Linked DNA regions of Mus musculus. The protein of the gene in region 2 purifies or fractionates together with the protein of the main gene of each other region. This does not show direct contact. Links are inferred from orthologs where the notes say so. Each region holds a gene or a part of one and is shown on either strand. Other genes may lie near its edges.

What was found.
Region 1: the proteins of Bod1l (region 2) and Setd1a purify together in Homo sapiens (affinity purification with mass spectrometry; 3 studies listed by BioGRID and IntAct, with this or other methods). This does not show direct contact. The link is inferred for Mus musculus from reciprocal best matches to the Homo sapiens genes BOD1L1 and SETD1A.
Region 3: the proteins of Bod1l (region 2) and Wdr5 purify together in Homo sapiens (affinity purification with mass spectrometry; 4 studies listed by BioGRID and IntAct, counting the BioPlex papers as one, with this or other methods). This does not show direct contact. The link is inferred for Mus musculus from reciprocal best matches to the Homo sapiens genes BOD1L1 and WDR5.

The regions. Positions count from the first base shown.
Region 1 is NC_000073.6:127,776,086-127,779,840, reverse strand, and holds the start of Setd1a (histone-lysine N-methyltransferase SETD1A), read right to left. Parts: upstream 2,453-3,755; 5' UTR 2,328-2,452; intron 1,729-2,327; 5' UTR 1,714-1,728; coding exon 1,564-1,713; intron 1,336-1,563; coding exon 1,240-1,335; intron 1-1,239. UniProt on the Homo sapiens protein: Histone methyltransferase that catalyzes methyl group transfer from S-adenosyl-L-methionine to the epsilon-amino group of 'Lys-4' of histone H3 (H3K4) via a non-processive mechanism.
Region 2 is NC_000071.6:41,786,889-41,789,682, forward strand, and holds the end of Bod1l (biorientation of chromosomes in cell division protein 1-like 1), read right to left. Parts: intron 2,062-2,794; coding exon 1,944-2,061; 3' UTR 650-1,943; downstream 1-649. UniProt on the Homo sapiens protein: Component of the fork protection machinery required to protect stalled/damaged replication forks from uncontrolled DNA2-dependent resection.
Region 3 is NC_000068.7:27,534,499-27,537,098, reverse strand, and holds the end of Wdr5 (WD repeat-containing protein 5), read right to left. Parts: intron 2,343-2,600; coding exon 2,242-2,342; 3' UTR 564-2,241; downstream 1-563.

The DNA.
Region 1 (3,755 bases), on a different chromosome or scaffold from region 2:
GCTTAAAGTTTACCAAAACAACAAACTTCCAAGACATGAAATTTATCCATCTTGATATTTTCTAAACACTGAAAAGTGTCTGGTGGAATATTACAGGGATATGGTGTCAAAGAGGTGATAAGGCCTGCCCAGATCAATAACCACACATGTCAATGCCTCAAAACAGACTTAGGATGCCAGCAATATGGCTCAGTAGGTACAGACACTTGTCACCAAGCCTGACAACCTTGAGTTTGACCACTAGGACCCATGATGAAAACCAATTCCCACAAGTTGTGCTCTAACTTCTACATGTGCACAATGGCATGCAAGCTTATTTATGAATGTACACACATGAAAAATAATATAATAAAAAAGAAAAACAGACTTGGAAAACAAAATTAAAATAAGAACATTAAAACCAGTGACAACAGCAAGATGGAGCCTAAAACTGAGGAAAGCTGCAGAAAGCGAGCAAACATCGGACTCTGCATGAAGAACATGGCAATGGAAACCTAAAGATTAAGACGAAAGGAAAGAACTACTGGGTGACTCCAGGCTTCCAGCTTGGGTACCCGAGTACCTGGTATTGCCATTCATCAGTCAAGAGGAAGTGAGGAGAGCAGGACTCAGGGAAGAAAGATGATGTTTTAGTGTCTCAGTAGATGCTGGCAGGAAGGAGGTATGAGACATAAACATTCAGACAGAAGAGCTTTCAGTAAAGCTGCTCAAGAAAGGGGGGATTCAGAAGGGTGAAGCCACTGCACAACTTACTTTACCAATAATCAGTAAAAGAAAACAAAAACAAAATTAGGAGGAGACAAAGAACTACCAATTTTCGAGACAGTCCGAAGTTTGAAGAATATCTTATTACAGTAGGGAAGCAAGCTGCTCGTACAGACAGGACAGAGGAGCACACACAATGACAGCAAGAACACACAACTCCAAGTGCACAGTGGTCTTAGCAGCATCCTTAATTGCTGAATAACTTGGCTATCCCACTGTCACAAGGCTTCAGAATACCCACCCATACCTCATCCTTCCAGACATCAATACCCTTGTCACCAGATATATACTAGAGTCACCTCAGCTATACATGTATACCTTCTGTCCAAAACATCTCAGTCTCACAGACACAAAAAGCAATGAGATCTGGCTGTCATAGTTCCTTCGGAATAAACACTTTGGTAGACTGTGTGAAGCCCAGGGTCCTTGACACTCTCCAAGGACCAACATGCAGGGAGACCAGCAGGCACTCACCTTAAACTTAGGAACCGGGAGGGAAAAGTCTCTGGCTTTGGACCTGACATGACAGCGGGGGTCCTGGAGGTCTTCCACGGGGGTATACTTTGAGTCCTAACAAAGAAAGCAGGAAGAGATGAAACCAGGCTGAAAATTCACCAGCCTACTGACTCTATAAAGCCCATGTAGAAGCCAACATACAGAAGAGCTGGGAGAGCTTGCTCATTCTCAAAAAACCAAACTACAGGTATAGGAAGTCTGGGTGTTGAATACTGAACAGGGGGAAGCGGGGAGGGGAGATTGGAGGTCCAAATAAGTCAAGAAAGGCTCGAGGGCACTCACACTGACACTGAAGTGGACTCCGTCATAGCGGTACACCTTCTGGGAAGGCCTGCGCAAAGCAGGGTCCAAAGCAGGATCCACTATGAGCTTGTAGTTCCGCCACTGGAAGCTCGGGGCTTTCTGCCCGTCTCCCCCACCTTCCTGGTCCATCTTTGCTCATTTACACTGTCAGGAAAAGAGGGATACGGAATGGGAGTCCACGACTTAGGCCTGACTCCCTTGCTGTCCCCTCAATGTCTAGCCCCGATTCCAGGGTCTCACATCAGTCCAGTCCCCGACACCTCAGCATGACCCGTGGCTCCCTCAGATCTTGCCCTGAGGAGCTGGGCTCACTATGGCACTCCATTCCTCTCCATCCCCAATTCTACCCTCAGGGCCCAGGCCCATCTCGCGCCCCCTTACCTTCCCGCTCTCCCCAGCGCGCCCCACTTGGCCTCCACGCAAGACCCCTCCCCCGTCCCCTCGCAGGCCCCGCCCCCTCCCGCCTCCTCACCGGCCAAGCGGCCCGGGCCGAGCCCCGCTCCCGCTCCCACACAGCCGCTCGCGTCCCCGCGCCCCGATCCTCCGAACCAGAGGTGGCACCTCTTCGGGGCGTTGGAAACACCGCGAGACCGAATCTGAGACCCAGCTTCGGTCCCTGAATCCAGGCGGGGGGGTGGGGGGAGGTAACGCGCGCCGCTGCCCTCTCCTCCCGCCCGGGCGCGTTCGGTGTCGTCCACCCCCCCCACCCCGTCGGCGCGCACGCGCGCCGGGGCCCTACTCACCCGCTCGTGGCGAGCGGCTCACCCTCCCCCCACCGCGCGCAGCACCTCAGCGGCGTGAGGCGGCGGCGGCGGCGGCGGCAGCGCGAGACCCGGCCCCGCAGCGGTGGCGGCGGCGGCGCCCCCCCACCACCACCTCCCCGGCGCGCGCACCAAACACCACCGCCACCTGCGCGAGGCCCAGCGGGCACAGCGTCTGCATCCGCACTTTCGCTACAAGGACTGCGGAGCGATCCACGGGGCCGAGGGTAGCGGCCTTGCCTCGGCCGGCGCCCTGCGAGGCTCGGGAGTTGTAGCCCAGGGAGCCTGAAGATGGGCCGCATTCCCCGGAGAGTGGACCGCACCACCCTGATCCAGCTGCTCCGGCCTTGGGGTTCCTGGCGAATCGGCGGCGACGAAAGCTGCGACGAGCCCCTGAGGGAAGGGGGCGGAGCGAGGGGGAGGACGCCAGCCAGAGCTCGGGAGATTTGAGTGGCGCGTCCAACGACGCAGATTCGCGAGGCGGGCGGGGCGAATGAGTGGACAGGATGCGCGCTCCTCGGCTCCTCTTCCCTGCCCCTTCCTTGCGCAGCCCGAATGCCTATGAGGCTGCAGTGCAGATTCGCCACCGTCCTGGGCTTTGGCCGTCACCTCTTCTCACCTGCTGTAGAGTCAAGAAAATGACGCCTGGCTCGCCAAGCCCTGTTGGCAGAGTCGACCTCTAGTCCTGGATTTTTTTTTTTTTCAGTAGAACGACTCAAGGAACAGCACACTTCCTACTTAGTGCGAAATGGTTACAAGGAAGAAGTCTTCTCGGCGTTTCCTGAAAATTTTCAGACAAGAAAAGCTGCCCAAATAATCCTAAGGAGTCGGGTAGCGAATCTGCCGATCCGGTTGTGGGCGGGGCTAACGAGAGAGGCGTGGCCAGGCGTGCGGAGCCCGGCGTAACGGGCTGCTTCCCTTAGAATCCACCAAAACCTGGGAGGGGTGGGAGGTGGAAAAATACAACCAGGAGGGGTGACTCAGGCGCTTTGCCTACCGACGCACAGAGTGAAATGATCGGTTCCTTCCCGCTTTTATATTCGGGCTCCTGTTGTTTTTCAGACAGCATGACATCGAACTTGCTATATAACGGAGGATGGCCTCGAACTCCAGATCCTTTTGCCTCTATTTCCTGAGTACCGGAATTACAGGTGTGCACACCATAACCGGTTTATAGCATGCTGGGAGATCTAACTCAGGGCTTTCTGCGTGTTAGGCCAGTACCCTAGTTACACCTCCCTTGGGCTAGTTTTAAAATGTTCCTTCTGAGCCGAGCAGTGGTGGTACACGTCTTTAATCCCAGGACCTGGGAGGCTGAGGCAGGTGGATTTCTGAGTTGGAGGCCAGCCTGGTCTACAGAGTGAGTTCCAGGACAGCCAGAGCTACACAGAGAAACCCTGTCTCAAAAAA
Region 2 (2,794 bases):
GGGCATTTTTTATGTTTATGTGTACCGGTGTTTTGCTTACATGTATACATTCACACATGTACACCATGAACATTCTCCGTGCTGGAGGCCAGAAGGCATCAGATTCCCTGGAATTGGAGGTATGGGATGGGACTTGAATCTTTTAAAAAGAGCAACAAGTGGTCTTAACCGTGGACACACCTTTAAGCCCCTGAGCCAAGTAGTCCTTAGGATTCTGGGACTACTATGTAAACGAGGATAGCTCATGCTCTGAGCTCCTCCACTCTGCTTAATACTATCAGCATCAAGTCATGACTGTGAACTGCTCTTCTTCACACTTGCAACATCCCCTGTCCCACAGGGTCATTTCTCTAGTCACCCTTGGCTTCAGAACCACTGGGAATTACTAAGAGGTAGCTGATGGGCTTCTCCACCAGAGCACAATGATGCAGTTCTACTGCTTGGCTCCATATTTACTAGGAGGCAGCTTTTCCTCACGGATAAAATTCAATCTCTATGGCTTCACAATGAGATTGTGCTCAGGTGTGCACTAGTCATGTACCAATCAACTTAACACTGCTATTCTAGCAAAAATGATTATTGGGATTCAGTCTCATTTCTAACCGCATTGGCTTTTAAGACATGGGGAAAAAAATTCTTGTCACTCAAGTTTTAGGGAAACATTTTATAATTTATATATAAAATTTCAGTAAGAAACAATGCAAAATGACAAGAATATCCACCTTACAAGAGCCAAAACAAAAAATAAAATCAAAATTTAAAAAAAGACAATGAAAAAAAGACAAAAAAATCATAACCCCAAACAATAAAAAAACCTACACATAATGAATGTAAATTTTAATTATAAAACAAGAGTATGAACAGAGCATTTAAAATTTCAATCATTTGGCAACTGATCATATCATTGCAAGAAACAGATCCAATCTTAAGAAAATGTTATTTTATGAAAAACTTAAGTCAGACAGTTTGTTCATTATGGGAGTTAAATCATGTTTAAAAAAGAATCTGGCTATATATAAAACCAGTTTCTATCCCGAAAGAACTGTATAAAACATGGCATCCTGAAGCTGAATAGCCTGGAGCAGTGAATCTTCAAGCACTTCTCTTCACTGAACAGACAGTATGGAGATGGTGGCTGAGGCTTGGGGTGAACACAGATGAAAACAATGAACCCACAGAGCTTGCTGCCTGCAGTGAAAGATGTGGCTTTACCTGGGCCAGGTAACTTACGTTAATGGGGCTGGCAGGTAGAGCCACAGGGGCAAGGGTAATCGAAAGACAAAACAGTCGCGGCCTTGGACGGAAGCAGCAGAGTCCGTTCTTTAGCTAACCTACTTTACTCGGATGCATGCGTGAATTTCTGTCTCCTGCCAGGCCATATGCTAATAGTTACAGGGCACTCGGAGTCCTAGAACTCTTCTATTAATGACTGCATAGCATTTAAAACCCTCTTTTTATTAAAAAAAATTAATAAAATAAAATAAACAGATATATAGTAAAGTTCACAGATAAGATTTCTCTGTAAAATAAATAAAGTGTTCATTGATTAGCATCATACATTGAGTAAAATACAGCCTGTTTTTACATGTTTATATACTATACACAGATCCCCATGGGCAGCCTGGTGTCTGATGGGCTGGAAGGATTCCATTCTTGATGTGTCACATTGGAAACCCCAATTTCTGCTGTTAAAATATACAACTACTTTGCTGAGTTCTGATACAAAGTAAACTTATCTTCCTTTATCTGAAGTGAATGTACATAATACCGTCCATGAACAATGGTTTGTAAAGCTGTTTAAAACATAAAATGAACAAGCTTGCACCTAGGAACTTACAGCACATGCAGATCCTTCTCTTGTTTTAAAAAAAGAAAAAGGCCATGGGGCAAGGCTTGTCCATTTTCTTTCCACTGGGTTGTTAGTCAGAAAGCTAGAGCCACCATTACCGCTTTGCCTTTTTCAGAGGGTTTTCGTCTACTTTCTGCTGGCCTCTCGTTCGAGCTCCAGGAGGGCTGACTTCTCTCTTGCGCTTGACAGAAGGGGAGAGCTGTGCCTTTGATCTGTATTGAGCAAAAGCCAAGGTAATGAGGAGAGTTAAAAGTCAGTTGCTTCAAACAACTTGGGAGTTTTTAACCCAGTACCCTGGAGGGAAATCCCCACGGTCTTTAATACCAGAAGTTCTTGAACGTCTGGTTCTTCACCAGCAACCTTGAATAGAGCAGACAGGGCTCTGGGGGAAGCACACAGAGGCCTGCACTCTGTGCCAGACCTGCCACCCTGAGGTACTGACCTTGGTCTTGTTAGCATCCTTTCCTACACGTCCTTTCTACTGAAACACACACAGACCCCACTGAAAACAACTAGCACAAACATAGCAGGAATGTAACCTAGCATCTGACACAGTCAAATCATGTTTCAGAGTAGTATTAGAGAAGCCAGCTTGCACAGTAGGAAAAGGTTTAGAGAAGCATAGTAACTGATTCAACCGTGTCACCATCCTCAGACATATATAGCTCTTGTTGGCTCTCTTCTGCTTCTCAGACAGTGGTTCTCAACCTTCCCAGTGCTGAGCCCCTTTAATACAGTTCCTCATGTTGTGGCAACTCCTGACTGTAATTTTGCTTTTGTCATGAATCATAATGTAAACAGCTGATATGCAGCATACATGACCTTCAAAGGAACTGCAACCCACAGGTTGAGAACCACTGCTGTAGGACAAAACAATCAGACCACAGTGCATGTGTTTACACAACCAGCTCTCTCCTTTCAGCACTCTGCACTGCAATGCTGTCT
Region 3 (2,600 bases), on a different chromosome or scaffold from region 2:
GAGAACTACTGAGGTGGGGAGCTATCAAGAAAGTTATCTGGCATCACTCTACACACATGAACCATCACACATATGCACATTACCTAAAAGAAAAGCAAATTTTTTGGGGAGGGGTTGTGCTGAGCAGATGGCTTAGCACTTGAGAGCACTGACTGCTCTTCAAGAGGTCCTGAGTTCAAATCCCAGCAACCACATGGTGGCTCACAACCACCCGTAATGAGATCTGACGCCCTCTTCTGGAGTGTCTGAAGACAGCTACAGTGTACTTACATATAATGAATAAATAAATCTTTAAAAAAAATTTTTTTTCTCCCTTTGGTTGTTATTTGAGCCTTGGTTTGTGTAATCCTAGCACTAGCTCCGCAGACAGGCTTTGCTTGAACTTAGACCCTCCTGAGTGCTGGAACTAAAGGTGTGCTCCTCCACTGCCTGTTCTGCTAAAGAAATCCTTATTGAGTGCCAACCAAGTGGGAGGGAATGACAGGTAATCCTCTGATCTCCACACACCCAATGAATGCACACAGAATGAATTCCTGGAAAAAACAAACTTATATGGAACAAAATTACAAGGCATGAAAATCTTTATTTTTAAAAAGAGAATGTATTTTTACATAAATCTACAACAGAGTTCAACTGTAGAAAAAATAAACTATACTCGGGGATACTGTGCTCGACATGGCAAGCAAGCTCCCTCCCTCAGGAGGAGGCCGCACACCAGGCCACAGCTGGAAGGACCTTACTACCCTCCAGAAACCCCAGCAACATGCCCACAACATTGACCAGAACCCAGGTTCATCTATCCAACAGACGCCAGGGGCCCCAGAGCCCATGTCAGTGTGACAAGCCACCCTCTTTAACAATGGCTTCTTCGATGTGATAGCCCATTTACACACCATCTCCCTCAAGGAAGTGACAATGTATGGGGTTTCTTTTCCAATACCTTTGGATTCTTATTATGCACGATGGAGGGAGAAAGGGCTGTCAGGACCACAGCTGGGGACAAGCCTTGGCAAAGGCAGAGTAGAGCAGCTACTGCCCTGGGTGATGTGGCTTCAATACACATCAGTGTTGGCCTCACAGATGGTTGCTGCTGCAACCAGAGCAAACCCAGAATCTCCTTTCCACCCATGTCTGTGCCCAGCAGCCTCCGCCACCCATCTGTACTCCCAGAACCTCTGCAGTCTGCTCCACAGTAGGTCACCCTGGGTTCAGCCAGCAGCAGTTGTGAAAATGCTGTGTAGTCCTGAGCTTGGCCACTACCTCTTTCCAGTCCTGGTCACCTGAGGCGGTGACCTGGGGCGGGGGCCAAGGACATAAGAGAGGTTTGGTGGGTTTAGAGGCCAAGGCAGGAAGCTGTACCTGCTGGGGCAAGCACCATATTGAACTCCTCCCTCCTGCACAGGTGACCCTGAGCCTCTCACAGAATAAAGAGGTCCAGAACCTCACTACATGGTGCCTTTCCAAGACTTCCTTCCACTCTTTCTCATCTGAGGTTCTTCCTCTCCAACACTCAGCACCCACAGCAGCCACTGGGAAGAAGAGGCACAACAAGGATCCATCCTCCCAGAGACCTTTCCAACTCCTGCCAGGAAGGGAGGAGGGCTTTATAAAGCCAGGTGTCAAAGAGCCTGGTCAGAACTCAGGGCCACACCCAGTCCATACCCACCTTTTATTACAGTGTGTGTAGCTTACTGAGTGATACCAGTGAGACAAGGAGACATTTCAACCACTGAGAGGTCAGTGTTGACCTATGAACTCCAAAAGAACAAAGGGACTTGACACGGATACAACTTACAACCTTTCTGTGTTTCCAGAAACTCATGGAAGCACGCTGGGTACTATTACAGGCAGGAAAATTGAACAAGCAGGCCAGGGCAGGAGGCAGGGAATGGGAGTAGGGCTGTAGGTCCTGTTCCAGTGTGCACTGGGCAATACAATACCAAAACAACAACCACAGAGAAAAACAACCCATGAGGAGCTGAACTCACTCTTGTAATAAAAAAATTAAAAATTTGTTGCCTCTGAGCACAGAACAGACCAGGAACTTCCCCAGGCAGAGACAGAATTGGCAAGAAATATCACAGTGGCTATCAAGACTCGGTAGTGTGCACTCCCCTGAGCCGACATCTTCAGATAGGAGGTGCACCAGGCCTGTCAACCCAGCCTGGCCCCATGCCTCTGCCCCACATGTGTTTCTTGCCAATCCGGGTGGCTTCCTTAAGTCTCCCATGGAGCCAGGACTTAGCAGTCACTCTTCCACAGTTTGATTGTTTTGTCGTTCTCTAACGCTGCTGAGGCAATGATGTTCTCTGTCGGGTGACAAGCCGTGGAAATCACAACATCTGAAAGGAGAGTAGTCAGGGAGCCACTCTAGGACAAGCAGTCCCAGCACATGCCTCACTGCCCTCAGGAGCACAGGGAGCACCGCAGGGTTCAGGGGAGTGCTCAGAATGCCAGAATAGTAACAGGCATCTTAGCCTTGCTCTGCTGGGCACAAGGCACTTGGTGGGTACCCAGCAGGGTCTGCACACCTGTCTACACTGGTCTCAGGACTGACTATGCCCACTTGCCCCCTACTATTCCTGAGGTTGTTCTACCTG